Linked DNA regions of Stegostoma tigrinum. The protein of the gene in region 1 binds, or shares a complex with, the protein of each later gene. Links are inferred from orthologs where the notes say so. Each region holds a gene or a part of one and is shown in the gene's direction. Other genes may lie near its edges.

What was found. The genes of interacting proteins can lie anywhere in the genome.
Region 2: the proteins of ranbp9 (region 1) and gid4 are in contact, whole or in part, in a cryo-EM structure (PDB 7NSC), measured with the Homo sapiens proteins. The link is inferred for Stegostoma tigrinum from reciprocal best matches to the Homo sapiens genes RANBP9 and GID4. Residues at the interface, in NP_005484.2 of Homo sapiens: Ser223, Lys224, Gly225, Arg226, Asp227, Gly228, Tyr229, Met230, Gly256, Asp257, Thr274, Phe275, Thr276, Thr277; in NP_076957.3 of Homo sapiens: Leu187, Arg189, Asp194, Glu195, Asn216, Asp218.

Annotation. Positions count from the first base shown.
Region 1 is NC_081355.1:38,961,018-38,968,534, forward strand, and holds the start of ranbp9 (ran-binding protein 9), read left to right. Parts: upstream 1-4,439; 5' UTR 4,440-4,530; exon of another isoform or gene 4,531-4,798; 5' UTR 4,799-4,808; coding exon 4,809-4,998; intron 4,999-7,517. UniProt on the Homo sapiens protein: May act as scaffolding protein, and as adapter protein to couple membrane receptors to intracellular signaling pathways. Acts as a mediator of cell spreading and actin cytoskeleton rearrangement.
Region 2 is NC_081376.1:25,766,856-25,774,394, reverse strand, and holds the start of gid4 (glucose-induced degradation protein 4 homolog), read left to right. Parts: upstream 1-4,519; 5' UTR 4,520-4,691; coding exon 4,692-4,847; intron 4,848-7,539.

The DNA of each region.
Region 1 (7,517 bases):
GTGGCAGTGGGAGAGAGTTCTGAGAGCCTGAGGAAGCAATGGCACTGAGACTTGAGGCTTTGGGGAGGGAGGCCCACTTACGGGGAAAAAGACTGCCTTATGGAGATAAGACTTTTAGATCTGGATGCTTCATATTACTTTCTTGGCTCCTGTTTTTTTTTTGTATTTCTGCTTTTTTAAAAATTCTGTTTTTTGCCTCTTAGTTTTGTTTTAAATTTGAGGTTTTGTATGTCGGATTGTGCCAGAGAAGGGTGACTTTGTACACTTTTTACTGTATTCCAATACTTCTGTATTTGAGTACATGACAATAATTGGGAAACCCCATGATATTCAATAGAAGTTATTGGTTTTCAGTGAAAATTCTGGTCATTGTTGGTTTTGACATAATAATTGGAGCAGTGAATGCTGGCCTACTTGACTACTGAGATCAGTGTTTCAGTCTAGAAATCTCCATTTATGTTGGTAGCAGCCCTATCAGTTTTGTAGTAACAACCTCAGTGATTGAGCCAATGATCAGTGGTCTAACAATGATGTAACTGCACCAAACTGCTCATTTTTAAATTGACTGTTATTGATTAGGAGTGTGCTTCAAAGGGCAGTACCTGCACACAAACACACCATTTAGTAGCAGAATACTGAAAGATGTGCACAAGTTGTTCTGCTTAACTCCCACTGCTACCACAGGCCCTCACAACTCACATTCTATGTTGCCTCCACACCTTATGCCAACTCCTAATTCTTCCGAGTAGGCGTTCCGGATATAATGTGATATTGTAACATAGAAGAAATCATTACTGATAATGATATGATTTGTGAAATAAAAATGAAAATATGTATTCATTGAAATATGTATTGTGTCACCTATTGGACATGACCCATTGAGTAAGTCATTTTAAGAAAGACGGCCTTGTTAGCAGTACTTTCATCTAATCATGCCAGTTTTATTTAGAATGAAGTCAGTATTATGAACATTAGAAATGTGACTGACTTGAAATAGACTGGTAAAAACAGCCAGAAGACAAGCACTCAATGGAAGAGTAGAAGATTAATCCTACTTATCCCTTGATCAACAAAATTTTTTCAGTTTTATGAATGATCATCTCAACCTAAAACACCAGCCTTGTTTTTCCAATGGGACGCTTCCTAACCTGCTTTATAGCTCCAGGTCTTTTTTTTGTATTATTTCAGATTTTTGGTATCAGGCTGTATTTTGCTTTTGTTTTACAAAGCAGATTAACTGGTTGTTATCACATTGCTACTGGGAGCTTACTGTGTGCAAGTTGATTGCCCATTTCATGCATTTTAACAGCAAATGTAAATGGAATTAATGTAGTTTGGTGTTTGTTGGTCAGCATAGAGTTGCCAACAAAATTCCAATTTTTCAAGGATTAGGATTTGTTTAACCAATTTTAAAACTGAATTGATTCGCTTTTATTTTGCAACTGCTGGCAAAAAAGAATTCTACAGGTCAAGCTATGCTATAGGCTGCTGGAGCTTCAGCTAAATTACTTGCATCATTAACATTTCTTAACCAAATCCAAGCTCACTTCCAATATTTATAGAGTTAAATACAGCTCTTTTTATCTCTTCAAACTAGAATTCAATTTCCCACTGGAGTGAATAATTTAATTCAACAATCTAAATGAAAAGAGCCAACTGTTGGTTGTGGAAACCCAGAATAAAATACTGCTAGGATGAAAACAGCTCTAATTGGTAGCCTCACCTCTGATCTAGAGGGTTCCTGAACCAGGTCTAGAATGCATGATGTGGGCTGATGCTCCAGTGTAGTATGAATGCTCTGATGCGTTCACCTTTGCCATCCATTTGAAATCTAAAATAAAGGTTTTATTTGCGTGTCCTGCAAGTCATTTCAAGAAACCATGGCACTGAAGAGTAGGGAATTCTCCCGATGCCTTGACAAAGTTTTCTGTCAACCAACACCAAAAAAAAATCAATGGTCATTAATTTCATTGTCAATGGACGGTAGTGGTCATTAGTAACTGTTCCATTTTGCTTTTCATAAATCACAAATTTCAAAAAGCACTTGCACATTTTTTCCACTTGGCAAAGTACAATCAAATTCAAGCGGCCATTTATCAACCATCTCTAGACCTAGAAAGAGGTTAACAAAGTCCCACTGATTGTGCTGTTATGTGATAATTCAATCTCCTGAAGTGCTTGTTTTAAGAGTAAAATAAGATGCATATTCTAGAATTTTATTACCTGTTTTATATAATGCTTGGAGTGATGAATGATATGTGATATGTGGAATTCACCAAAAATCCTCAGATGACCACTTCCATCTAGAAGGACAAGGTAGCAGATATGTGGGAACACCATCAACTTCAAGGTCCCCTCCAGACCACTCCCCATCCTGACATGGAAATATTTTACTATTCCTTCATTATCTCTGGGTCAAACCCCTGAAATTCCTTCCCCAATAGCATTGTAGTTCAACCCACAGCAAGTATATTGGACTAGTTCAAGAAGCTGCTTACCACTGCCTTCTCGAGTGCAACTAGGGATGGACAATAAATGCTGTCCAGGCAGTGACATCCACATCCCACAAATGAATTTTAAAAAGTGTAAAATTTGCCACAGCAGAGAAAGTAATACTAAATTCCAACTCAAACACTAGTTGCCATGCAATCTAGTTGCTCAGTGTCAAGTGTGAGACCAGCCAGAACTTTCACCAACTAAATATAAATGAGGCCAAGTTGTTTTTGTTGCAAATAGAGAGACCTAAGGGTTCAGGTACACAGTTCTTTGAAATTGGCATCATGGGTAGACAGCATGGTGAGGAAGGCATTTGGCATGCTTGTCTTAATTAGTCAGAGCATTTGGTACAGGAGTTGTCGTGTTGCACCTGTACAAGACATTGGTGAGGCCACTTTTGGAGTACTGTGTACAGTTCTAGTGGCCCTAGTATAGTAAGGATATTATTAAATTGGAAAGGGTGCAAAAAAGATTTACCAGGTTGTTACCAGGACAGGAGAGTTTGAGTTATTACAAGAGGCTGGATAGGCTGAGACTTTTTTTCCTAAGAGTGTAGGAAGTTGGGGGATGACCTTAGAGGTTGATGAAATAATAATCAAGGCCTTTTCCCTAGATGAGGGGAATTAAAAACTAGGGGGCGTAAGTTTAAGGTGAGAGGAAAAAGATTTAAAAGGTACATGAGGAGCAACTTTTTCACACAGAGGGTGGTTCATATGTGAATGAACTGTCTGGTGAAGTGGTTCATGCAGGTACAGTTATAACATTTAAAAGACATTTGGACAGGTAGACAAAAAGGAAAGGTTTAGAGAAATGTGGGTAAAACACAGACAAATGCTTAATTTGGGAAATCTGTTTGGCATGGACAAATTGGACTGAAGGGTCTGTTTCCGTGCTGTGTACCCAATGACCCTATGACTCAGAGATGGTGGGCTTAAGGGCCTGTTTCTATGCTGCATGCCTCTGTGACTCTACAGACATTTCAAGTATTCTTAAACTATGTTATAAAGTGCTCTGTAATGTACTATGATCTTTGAAGGTCCAAAATAGACATTATTTTATTTCTTTTTGAAACACAGCAAAAGCAGACACCACCATCTCAAGTGGTGTCAATGAATCTCCAATCTCTTGGGTCTCAGAAAAAATGCTGTTAATTACTGCAGATACCCCTCCAGCAGTGCTGCTATCCAAGCCTTTATCTTGCATACCTGATCTCACTCTTATCCTAATTCCTATTACAACTCTGCTCCAAGCATAACAATGATCTTTGTGTCGTTTGCCATTTCAATTTTCCAAATTCTGACCATCTTGACTTTCCTGTCTCTGGGCAGCCATAGCATATTAATTAAATTCAATGTAAGCTCAAACAACACCACATTTCTGGACTTGGCAGTTTACAGCCTTCTGAGCACAAATTTGGATGATGATCGATTCAGAGAAAGTAGGAACTACCGATGCTGGAGAATCTGAGGTGACAAGGTGTGGAGCTGGACGAACACAGTAGTCTAAAGCAGCATCAGAAGAGCACGAAAGCGAAACGTTATCTTTCCTGCTCGAGGCTGCTGTGTTCATCCAGCTCTACACCTTGTTAACTCTTATGTTTAGATGATGGTCAGTGCTTCTTTTTTCCAACTGATGTATATCTGTTTTATTCCTTCACTTTCCACTCTGATGTTCAGCCATGCACAACTCGTCTGTACACATCTTTTGCTTCTTTACCCATTATTGTGGAATGTTTTGCCATTTAATCCCTCCTCACCCCTTATCCCCACCTCTCCAATTCTGCATTGCTTCACTCCCTCACCCTGTCTATTGCATTCATTCCTTACTCGCCTCCCTCCGGAGACCCCCCTCATAGGAAGTTAGCCTCTCTGCAGCATTTCCCCTGCCCCGAGCTTAGCCCCGCCCCCCAGCCGCGATGGTTTAGCGTGGGTGGCCAATGAGGAGCGGGTTGGGCAGCGGCGGCCTGTCAGTGAGCGGAGACAGGCGGACATAGAAGAGAGTCACTCAGTCAGATTCGGATGCAGCAGCGACTGAGTTGGGTTGGAGCTGGAGTTGGGGACGGGGACGGACCGGGTGGAGGGAGGCAGGCTGGCTGTCGGTCGGTCGGGCTCTCAGTGAACGAACGGGCTGAGGGCTCATAAGGCGCGGCCGTGGAAGGGAGACGGCATCGGTCGCCGTTCCGGGTTTCCAAGTCTCGTCATCCGGGGCTCGGAGCCTGATCCAGACCGTCTCCGGCCCATTATACATCCACCCAGAGCTCAGGCTCCGGGTTTGGCCTAACCCCTCCTCCCGTCCTTCACAGATCCGCACCCATGGCTGGGCTGTCGGCGGCGCACGGAGAGTCGGCACTCAACCTTCAAGAGAAGGAGCTCACCGACCGCTTCAAGCGGCTCTACCCCGCTGTCAACGAGCAGGAGTCGCCGCTGCCGAGATGCTGGAGCCCAAAGGATAAGTACAGCTACATCGGCCTGTCTCAGAACAACCTGCGGGTCCATTATAAAGGTAAGCGGATGGCCCCTGGCACCCAGGGACGTCTTGACACTGGTACTGAGCCCAGCTAAAGAAAAGGCAAAGAGGGTGGATGGCAGCTACAGTTTATAGGCACCGACTACCAGGCCCCTGGCCTTACATAGCAACAGTTAACACTGATACGAGAGGCCACCGAATCCCACCAAATACCTATACAGGGGTGTCATATAGCCACATTAGTCACATAGAACTATCTGGAATAAGATGAGTGCCAAGACTGATTACATGCACCGACTGTGAACAGGCCAAGACTTGTACACCACAGTTTGGAACATACACTTCCGTACACAGTGAGGAAATGAGTTGGGGAGTTGGGGGTGGGGCGAGCGGTGTGGCGGGCGCGGTGGTGACGGGCCTTGAGCACTATGTCCATAAATGACATCTGGGCCATGGCCTGTTGAGATTATTTGTTGAATACTATCAACAGAATTAAATACAGTTGAAATATTTGCTTTTAATTGAGTGTGAAAGAGCCCTCGCGGTAGAGAAAGATCTGATCTTAAAACTTATCTAACATTTTAAAAATACACGTAAGTAGAAAACAAAGCTAGTTCACGAAAGATCTCCATAGAGATAGACATGACCCTAACTAGTCAATGATTGTGAATTTTGGGTCACCAGTTAACTATTATTGAGAGTATGTGTGTAAGATACTTCTAAAACGGACATGGATTGTAATAAATCCAATGTGTGGTAGAGGGACTGTTTTGCAAGTGTCTATAACATTCAATATATAAACGATACATTATGTGAACAACTGGCAACTTTAGTTTTAAAAAAAACAAAATGAAGCCCTTTAGCCTCCAACCAGCAAAAACAAATCAGTATCGACTGTTAAGGAAGAGCAATGGATTGCAACGAGTTGCAATGTGACCTTTTCCCATCTTTTCAAAAATGAGGACTAGAGAATGACCTAAGTTTTAATTCGGTTTGAATAGAATGAGTGACTGATTCCCATTGAAAATGTTTGTTTGTGTCCTGAGTAAGAGGAGATTGGGCAGTGGGCTGAGTTCTTGGGAACCTTGCATTGCAAACCCCATTGAATTTCTGTTTTCTTTGTCGAAGGATCCAAAAGCAAGGGTAGGTTGAAAACTGAGAAGAAAGAGAAAAAAGTTAGAAGCAGATTATTTCAGAACACAGCTTCTAAATATTAATTTCATGTCAGGGTGTATCTCCAAATAATATAGAATGGATGAACTGGCTTGGAGCCAAGAATTTTACAACTATAATTTTGGATATTTTTGTTCATTATGTTTGAAGTGGACTTGTTACAGTGCAAAACTGAAGCTGGTAACAAATCAATAATTTTCTTTAATATATTAACAAATCCAATCACTGCTTTGAATTCTTTGATCATATATCACAGTTTTTGTCTGTGAATCCTGGGTAACTTTATACTTACTTTCTTAATCTGTTAAGTTTACAAACTCAAATTATTGTTAAAATAACCTTAACGCTGTAGTTTCCTTTATTTATCCTGCTAAACTGTTTCTTTACAAATGTCATGCAGCCTCCTCTCCCCTGTGTACTCAGATGTCAGGGTAATATTATCTGTGCTTTTCATTTGAGGTATCATTACTCAGTGATGTCATTTAATGCAAAATGTTCCATTCTGCAGAATGACACCAAAGCATGACTGCAGTTGTTTTTCAAGTAAATTATTTAGACAGTAGAGTACTGTATCTATTGCTCCTCAGTGACCACTCTACAATAATGTTTTTGTAAGTCTTGGCATTGTCTCTGCTTAATGTTGAAGGTACCTTCAGACCTTCTCGCTAGGTTACGTCAATTGTTTGTGTTTTGCAGTGATTGAACTTAAATTTTGGAAATGAAAATCTAAAGATTAGCTGCATTTTGTTCAACCCTCATTCTTTGGTTTTGCACTCTAGGTAAATCTACTCATCTACAAATAATACCAGGAATCTTTAACTTCTGCTTGAACTATTGGGACATGATCAAATCTTGCTTTCATTCAAAGTGCAGGACTTCTGATAAAGCCTTGAGAGCACACTGAAGTCACAGCTAGCTTTTGTGCTCAAGTCCCTGAATGAGGTTTGAATTCTCAACCTTCAGAATTCAACTAAAACCAAGTTGACGCCTCGCCCATGCAGTATCCATGAAATTAATTATCCGCAGGCAGTCAGTTGGATAAAACAACATAAAGTTAGACCCTATATGACTTAATATGCCTCCAGTGTCAAAAATTTGCAGATGTTGGACTCTGTTTCTGGCATTTTCACTTACAGGTCAGCGAGTATTTGAGAATTCATACAACTTGAAATTTCAAACATTAGATTAGTAACATTTTAGAAATGTGGCCTTTCTGTGAATAAAGAGTCTATACTTGAAATTTCAACTTTTTTAAACAGATGTTTCCTGAACTAGTGACTGCTTGCAGCGATTTGTCATTTAACCCTTAAAAGTGCCAGATAATAAAATAACAGGTGTGATTTGTTGAGGCAACAATGTGGACCTAGATCTCCCAACAGTGT
Region 2 (7,539 bases), on another chromosome or scaffold:
CACTCTCTATCTTACCTACTAGATGGAACTAAGAGACGGTTGTGTGCTCTGCTTCATGGAGACTTGACTCACCCCTGCCATTGCCGAATGTGCCCTACAAGCAAGTGCCCAACAAGTGTTCTCCATACACCACATCGACTGTGTGGCATCCTTGGGTAAGGCGAAGGGTGGTGGGGTATGCTTCCTGAGCAATATCTCCTGATGCTGAGACCCTGACAAGCTACAGCTCTCCAGAACTAGAATACCTTATAGTAAAATGCCTCTCTATCCCACCTAAAATGCTGTCCCTACTACCTACCATGTGAGCTCACCTCTGCCATCCTGACAGCAGACTACATACCACCACATGCACCTGCAAAGAATGCCCTAGACGAGATTTATAATGCCACAAACACCCTAGAGACAAGTTTCCCCGAGTCCCTATTCATTGTGGTCAGTGACTTCAACCAAGCCAACCTCAAGCAGGTGGTGCCAAAATACCACCAACACATCTCCTGCCCCATATTCTGGACCAATGCTACACAACCTAAAGACACCTATTACTCAATATCCTGCCCACACTTTGGAAAATCCGATCACAGCACTGTCGTCCTAGCTTACAATCAGGAGCTGAAACATGACAATCCTTTACAAAATGAAGTACAGTGCTGGTCCAAGGCAGCGGCAGACCTTCTCCAGGACTACTTGGACTCGGTGGACTGGACCATGTTCAGTGGAAAACCTAGATGAGTATGCCACCACTGTCAGGGACTTCATTAGTTTATTGGGTGTGAACCAAAGAAATCAGTCTGTGTTCCCCAACCGTAAACCTTGGATGAACCAGGAAATCCACTCCCTACTGAAGACCAGACATGCAGCATTCAAGTCGGGTGACCCAAACCAATACAAGAAATCCAGATTAGACCCCCGCAAAGCCATCAGGGAGGGCAAGAGGCAGGTGGAGACCCAGACCTACCAAACAGACTCCCGCTGTCTATGACAAGGCCTAAATGACATTACGGGATATAAAATGAAACAGTGTAAGATAGCGGACAATGACACATCCCTCCCTAACACGCTCAATGCTTCCTATGCTCAGTTTGACACCTGTCCACACAGCCCCAGAAACACCTGTTCCCTCTGTCACCAATCTAAAAGTCAGATTGCTCTTCCTGGGAGTCAACTCGGAGAGCAGTGGGACCGGACGGTTTCCCAACCGAGCAGTCAGATCCTGTGCAGACCAACTGGTGGAGGTATTCACAGATGTCTTCAACCTCTCCCGCCCGCAGGCCACCGTCCCCACCTGTTTCAAGAACACCGTCGTCATCCCTGCACCCAAGAAAACAAATGCAGTGTGTCTTAATGACTACCGCTCAATAGCCCTGGCTTCAATTATCACAAAGTTCTTCGAGAGGCTGGTCATGACCCACAGTTTGCCTGCCGACATAACAGGTCCACAGAGGATGCCATATCATAGCCCTGGAACATCTGGACAACAAAGGCACCTTCATCAGGCTCCTGTTCATTGACTACAGCTCTGCCTTCATCACCATTATCCCTTCCAGAGTGATCTCAAAACTCTGTGACCTGGTTTCGGTTCTGCCCTCTGCAACTGGATCCTCAGCTTTCTGACCCATAGGCAGCAATTAGTGAGGATAGGTAATTGCACACCCTCCACAATAATATTCAAACAGGAGGCCCCCTAGGATGTGTCTTCAGTCCCCCACTGTACTCCCTGTACATCTATGAATATGTCGCTAAATTCCAAACAAACATCATCTACAAGTTCGCTGATGACACCACCACACTGGCACAGATACCTAACAACAACATTTCAAAATAGAGGGGAGACAGAGGCATTGGTGATATGTTGCCATGAAAACAATCTGTCTATCAACGTTGGTAAAACTAAAGAACTGATCATCAAGTTCAGAAAGAAAGGAGAAGAATATGCCCCCATCTACATCAACAGAATTGATGTTGAGAGGGTGACCAGAATCCAGTTTCTCAGTGATAATAACCAGCAACGTGTTCTAATTTTCCCATGTAAATGCAACAGTCAAGAAGGCACAACAATGCCTCTTCTCCCTCAGGCAGATCAGGAAATTTGGCTTGTCCATAATGTCCTTCACCAATTTCTACAGATGCACCATTGAAAGCAAACTGTTCAAGTGCACAACGGCCTGATAAGGCAACTGTTGTCCCCAGGACTGTAAGAAACTACAGGCGGTGGTATGCACAGCCCAGACCATCATGGAAGCCAACCTTCCACCCATGGACTCTATTTACACGGCTCGACTGCAGAAAGGTGGCCAAAATCATCAAAGACCTCCCTACGATCTTTTCCGTCAGGCAGAAGGTACAGAAGCCTGACCCCACACATGCAGGTTCAGGAACAGCCTCTTTCCAGCAGTTACAAGACTGTTGATAACAAAGTGTGGAGCTGGATGAACACAGCAGGCCAAGCAGCATCTTAGGTGTACCTAGGTGTGTTCCTAAGATGCTGCTTGGCCGGCTGCGTTCATCCAGCTTCATGCTTTGTTATCTTGGATTCTCCAGCATCTGCTGTTCCCATTATCTGAGACTGTTTGAATTGACTCTAGCCTCAAATAATGTAACCTGTATTTCTATGTCTTTTTGATCTGTGCATCCTTTGCTTGCTGTGATCTGCCTGTGTCACACGTAAACAAAGCTTTTCAATAAAAACCACAAGAACGGCAGATGCTGTAAATCAGGAACAAAAAACAAAATTGCTGGAAAAGCTCAGCAGGTCTGGCAGCATCTGTGGAGGAGTAAACAGAGTTAACGTTTTGGGTCTGGTGTTCTAAGGAAGGGTCACCGTACCTGAAACGTTAACTGTTTTCTCCTCTGCAAAGCTTTGCACTCTGATTATTTCAGTACATGTGACAATCAATTGACCCTATGGAGCAGGCTCAAGAGGCCAAACAGCCTACTTCTGATACTATGTCGTTTGGTTTTATCTTTCTACTACTTTAGTTTTCTCTAATCTTATTTGTTGATTTATTCTTAGATTTTTAATGTCTCTCCCTTCCTGTCGCAGTCTGTTTATGATTTCCCAAACTAATACCTTTCCTTTTTTCCTTGTATATTTTCTTTGATTTAGCATGCCTTCCCAAAAATGATTCATTGGCCCCAGTAATTAGTTTTTAAATTCCCTCTACTCCCCTACTTTATACAGCTCATAAGAACAGCAGCCGGGTGGAGTCCAGACAGAGCTTGGCCCAATGGTATAGATCCCACTTTACCCAATACAGGTGTCAAAGGTCCATGAACGAGTACTTACTTCTCTAGCACCAGACTTTGAGCACAAATTCATCTCTCTAATTTGATTTGAGCCCATGGCTCAGGTAACAATCCTCAGATCATGACCTTTGAATTTCTTCTTAGTTTTGTGTCGATGTCATGGAGCATGACAACTAGATCTTCCCCCTGCAAATTCCACTTCACCACCATTCATGAATGGCTGTGACAGGACTGAACAGTGTTAAACTGATCTGTTGATTGTGAGATATATGGCTTGCCCTGTTGTATGCATGTCATGTTATACTGTAGTTGTACCAAGTTAGCACTCATATTTAGATATATGCCTGGTAAAACTCATAACACTTCTCATTGCATCCCCATTTAGGTCTCCATTAAAAGACTCATCAATTTAAAACCCTCAACTTTTTTTCAAACTCCACCTTGGTCCTGCAGTGTTTCTATAATTCCCTCTATCGCCACAATCCTCTGAAATTTTACACTCCTCTAATTCTGCCCCCTTGAGTATGCTGGATGTCTCCTTCTCCACGATCAACGTTTGTTTTCTACAATGCTCCAGCTATGTAAACTTGACATCTTGTTTTACACAGACCAGAGATAAAAAGAAAAGTTTATATGAAAGCAACGTAGGTGTAACAAAAAAGTGTAGATCCTGGAAATCAGAAACAAATTCAGAAATTGCTGTAAAAACTCAGCAGATGTGGCAGCATCTCTGGAGAGAAAGCAAAGTTAACATTTCAGGACCATTGAACCTTCAAAACTCAATATGTAATATATAAATGCTAAGAAGGTGTTTAGTGAGAATCGTCCCCCGGAGGACGATTCTCATGGTCAAAGTCAAGACTTACAAAGCCAACGAATCTCTGCAGGCATTTCCTACAGCAGGGCAGTGAGACACGAGATAACAAGGTGTAGAGCTGGATGAACAGAGCAGGCCAAGTAGCATGAGAGGAGGAGGAAAGCTCACGTTTCAGCTTTGCTGCTCCTAAGATGCTGCTTGAGCAGCGACGTACTGCCAGTTGTGACATTATTCAATAGGAGCAGATAGTCAATGGGAGCGAGACTGACAACTAAGCGACTATATCTCCCAGAATGCCTCGGGGGGCTGCACATGCGCAACAGCTGAACGTCTACCGTCATCCGAAGGTGACGGCATGCCTCCCCTCTCTACCAATGGGAAAGTGCCGTTGTACAAGGTCGGCGGTGACGGCAGAAAGGAGCCAATGAGAAAAAGCGATGCTGGCTCCGCAGGCGCCGTCTGTGGGAGGTTTGCGGCCATCTCGCGTTGTCAGGGTTTGACGAGGAGAAGTGGCGGTTGTAGTGGCCGAGTTTGCCTGCGATATTTATTTAAGCAGACTTCCCCCTCCCTCCCTTTACCCCCTTCCCCCTCCTTCCCGCTTTCGGGCGCTGGGCCGGGCTGACATCGCGCGATGCCCGTCCGCACTGAGTCGGCCTCGCTGATCCCGCCGCCCCCCATCAACACTCAGCAGCCTGGGGTCGCCACCACGCTCCTGTACAGCGGCTCCAAGTTCAGGGGCCACCAGAAGAGTAAAGGCAACTCGTATGACGTGGAAGTTGTGCTGCAGGTAACATTCTAAGTGCGCATCAGTCCTTTAAACCTCTGCTCACTCCTTAGGAGGAGGATCGGTATCACATCGAAACTCACTGTTGACATTCGGCTTACAATTTGTTTCTGCCTTGTTTCCTGTAAACACTATGAATGCCAGCACTCAGCGGATAACCTTCTTTGCATGTGTAAAAAAAAACAGATCAAGGGAGGATAATTTTGATCAGCAAACCCGTTCCCTCTCTGACCCGGTCTGTTTGAGTTTCTACTGAGTCATTTTATAAAATTACCGTATAGTGCCTGCCTGTCTTCGATGTTGTTAGAATCAAAAGTGGCAAATGTTGGAGGCACTCTGGGACAGTATTTGTAGAGCAACAGTCCGATTCATGTTTTCAATACTAATCCTCATTTTGCTCCTATAACGTAGGAGATCAGTAATTTGATTCTGTCCTTTTTATATTTGTTTTCTTTCTTTCTTTCTTCAGATTAATTCTGATACATGTTCTGCTTGTAGTAATTTTGCTTTATAGATTTGTGTCTTCTTTCCCAGTCACTCCTCATTGGCTGTCATCGAGTTACAGTTGAAAATGTTCCATAGAATCACTACAGTGTGCAAGAAGGCCATTTGGGTCATTGGGTTCACACCAACCTTTTCTGAAGACCATCCCATCCTGACCCTACTCTATGCCTGTAATCCTCCAACTCTCATGGCTAACCCACCTAATCTACACATCCCTGGACACTGGGCAGTTTAGCATGGACATTCCACCTAACCTGCACGTCTGGACTGTAGGAGGAGACCAGAGCACCCAGAAGAAACCCCTGCAGACACAGGGAGCATGTGCAAACTCCACATAGTCTCCTGAGGTTGGATTTGAACCCGAGTCCCTGGTGCTGTGAGCCACCATGATACTGTACTCTTTATAAACCTTTTGAATTGGTTATCTGCAATATCTATTTTTTTCTGTAGCTTGCAGACCTAAGTTTGCTACTGCTAGGAATGTAAGTAGGCCGTTCAATCTCTTGAATCTGTTCTATCATTCTAGCTGGTAATGACTGGTCTACACCTCAGTAATTACTTGCTGATGATGTGTATTATTTGGTACTTTTACCTAATAATAAGTATCATTATCTGTGTTAATATTTCAATTAACCTATTCAATGTTTCAAATGAATTTATTACTTTTTCTGTGGGGAATAACATCCTTCCTGAGTGATCTCACTGTAATTTTATTTTGAACTGCAGGAGTGTTTTTCTGCCTGCACTGTGCAAAATCATTTTGATTACCTTGCATCTCCTGCAACTTACTAAGTTTGAGAGAGTACAAATCAAATTCACACAGAGTATTCATAATTCAGCTCTTCTAAGCCCAAGTATCTTTTTGTTGAGTCTGTGTTGCACTTCCTTGAACACTAATTTACCTTCCCTGTAATGTATCTACAGTACAGAAGGAGGCACAAGGCAGGTATAGACAGCTGAGATCAAGTGAATCAGCTGAGGATATAAGGACAGCTGGAGTATATTCGAGAGCAAAAAAGGGGATACAAGACAGCTTTAACATATAGGTTTAAGGAAAACCCAAAGACATTCTACAGATGCACTAAGTGCAAAAAAGTTAATTAGGGAGAGAATAGAGCCCCTTAAAGATTAACAGGACTATCTACGTTTGGACCCACAAGAGATGGGTGAGATACTAGGGTATTTCAAGTCAGTATTCACTGTGTAAAAAGATACGGGAGCTAGAAAACTTGGAGAAATGAGTAGTGATATCTTGAAAAGCGCCCACATTACAGAGGGGGTGATTCTGGATGTCTTAAAAAGCACAAAAGTGGATAAATCTCCAGTACCTGATCAGGTGTATTCCCCTCAATGGGAAATGAGGGAAGTGTTTTCTGCGACCATTGCTGAGATATTTGCATCATCGATGGCTATGGGTGAGATGCCGGAAGACTGGAAGGTGGCCAATGTGCCATCATTTAAGAAGAGTATCAAGAAAAGCCAGGGAACTATAGACTGAACCTGATGTTAGCGGTAGGTAAGTTGTCGGAGGGGATTTGGAGAGACAGGATCCGCATGTATTTGGAAATGCAAGGTCCAATTAGGGATAGTCAACATGGCTTTGTGCATGGGAAATTATATCCCGTTAACTTGGTTGTTGCTTCTTCAATAAGTTCAAAGAAGATTGAAACCAGACCAGTGGATGTTGTCTAAATGGATTTCACTAAGGTGTTCAGCAGGGTTCTGCATGGTAGACGAGTTAGCAAGGTTAGTACACATGAAATCTAAGGAGAGCTAGCCATTTGGATACAAAATTGTCTTGAAGGTAGGAGACGGAGGATGGTGGTGGAGGGTTGTTTTATCAATTTTTGGAGGTCTGTGAACAGTGGTGTACCACAAATATTGGTGTTGGGTCCTCTGCTTTTTGTTCATGGTATAAATTATTTGGATATGAATGTACAAGGAATGGTTGATTTGTAAGCTTGCTGGTGAAACCAAAATTGGTGTTGTAGTGAACAGTGAAGAAGATTATCTTAGGGTACAACAAGACCTTGAACAGATGGGCTGAGAAAGAGCAAATAGAATTTAATTTGGATAAGTGTGAGGTGTTGCATTTTGATAAGGCAAATCAAGGCAGGACTCATACTGTCAAGTTCGTTTTCAGAGACCCTCACAGACTTGATGCAATAGCAAGACACTGACCTGGCTGCAA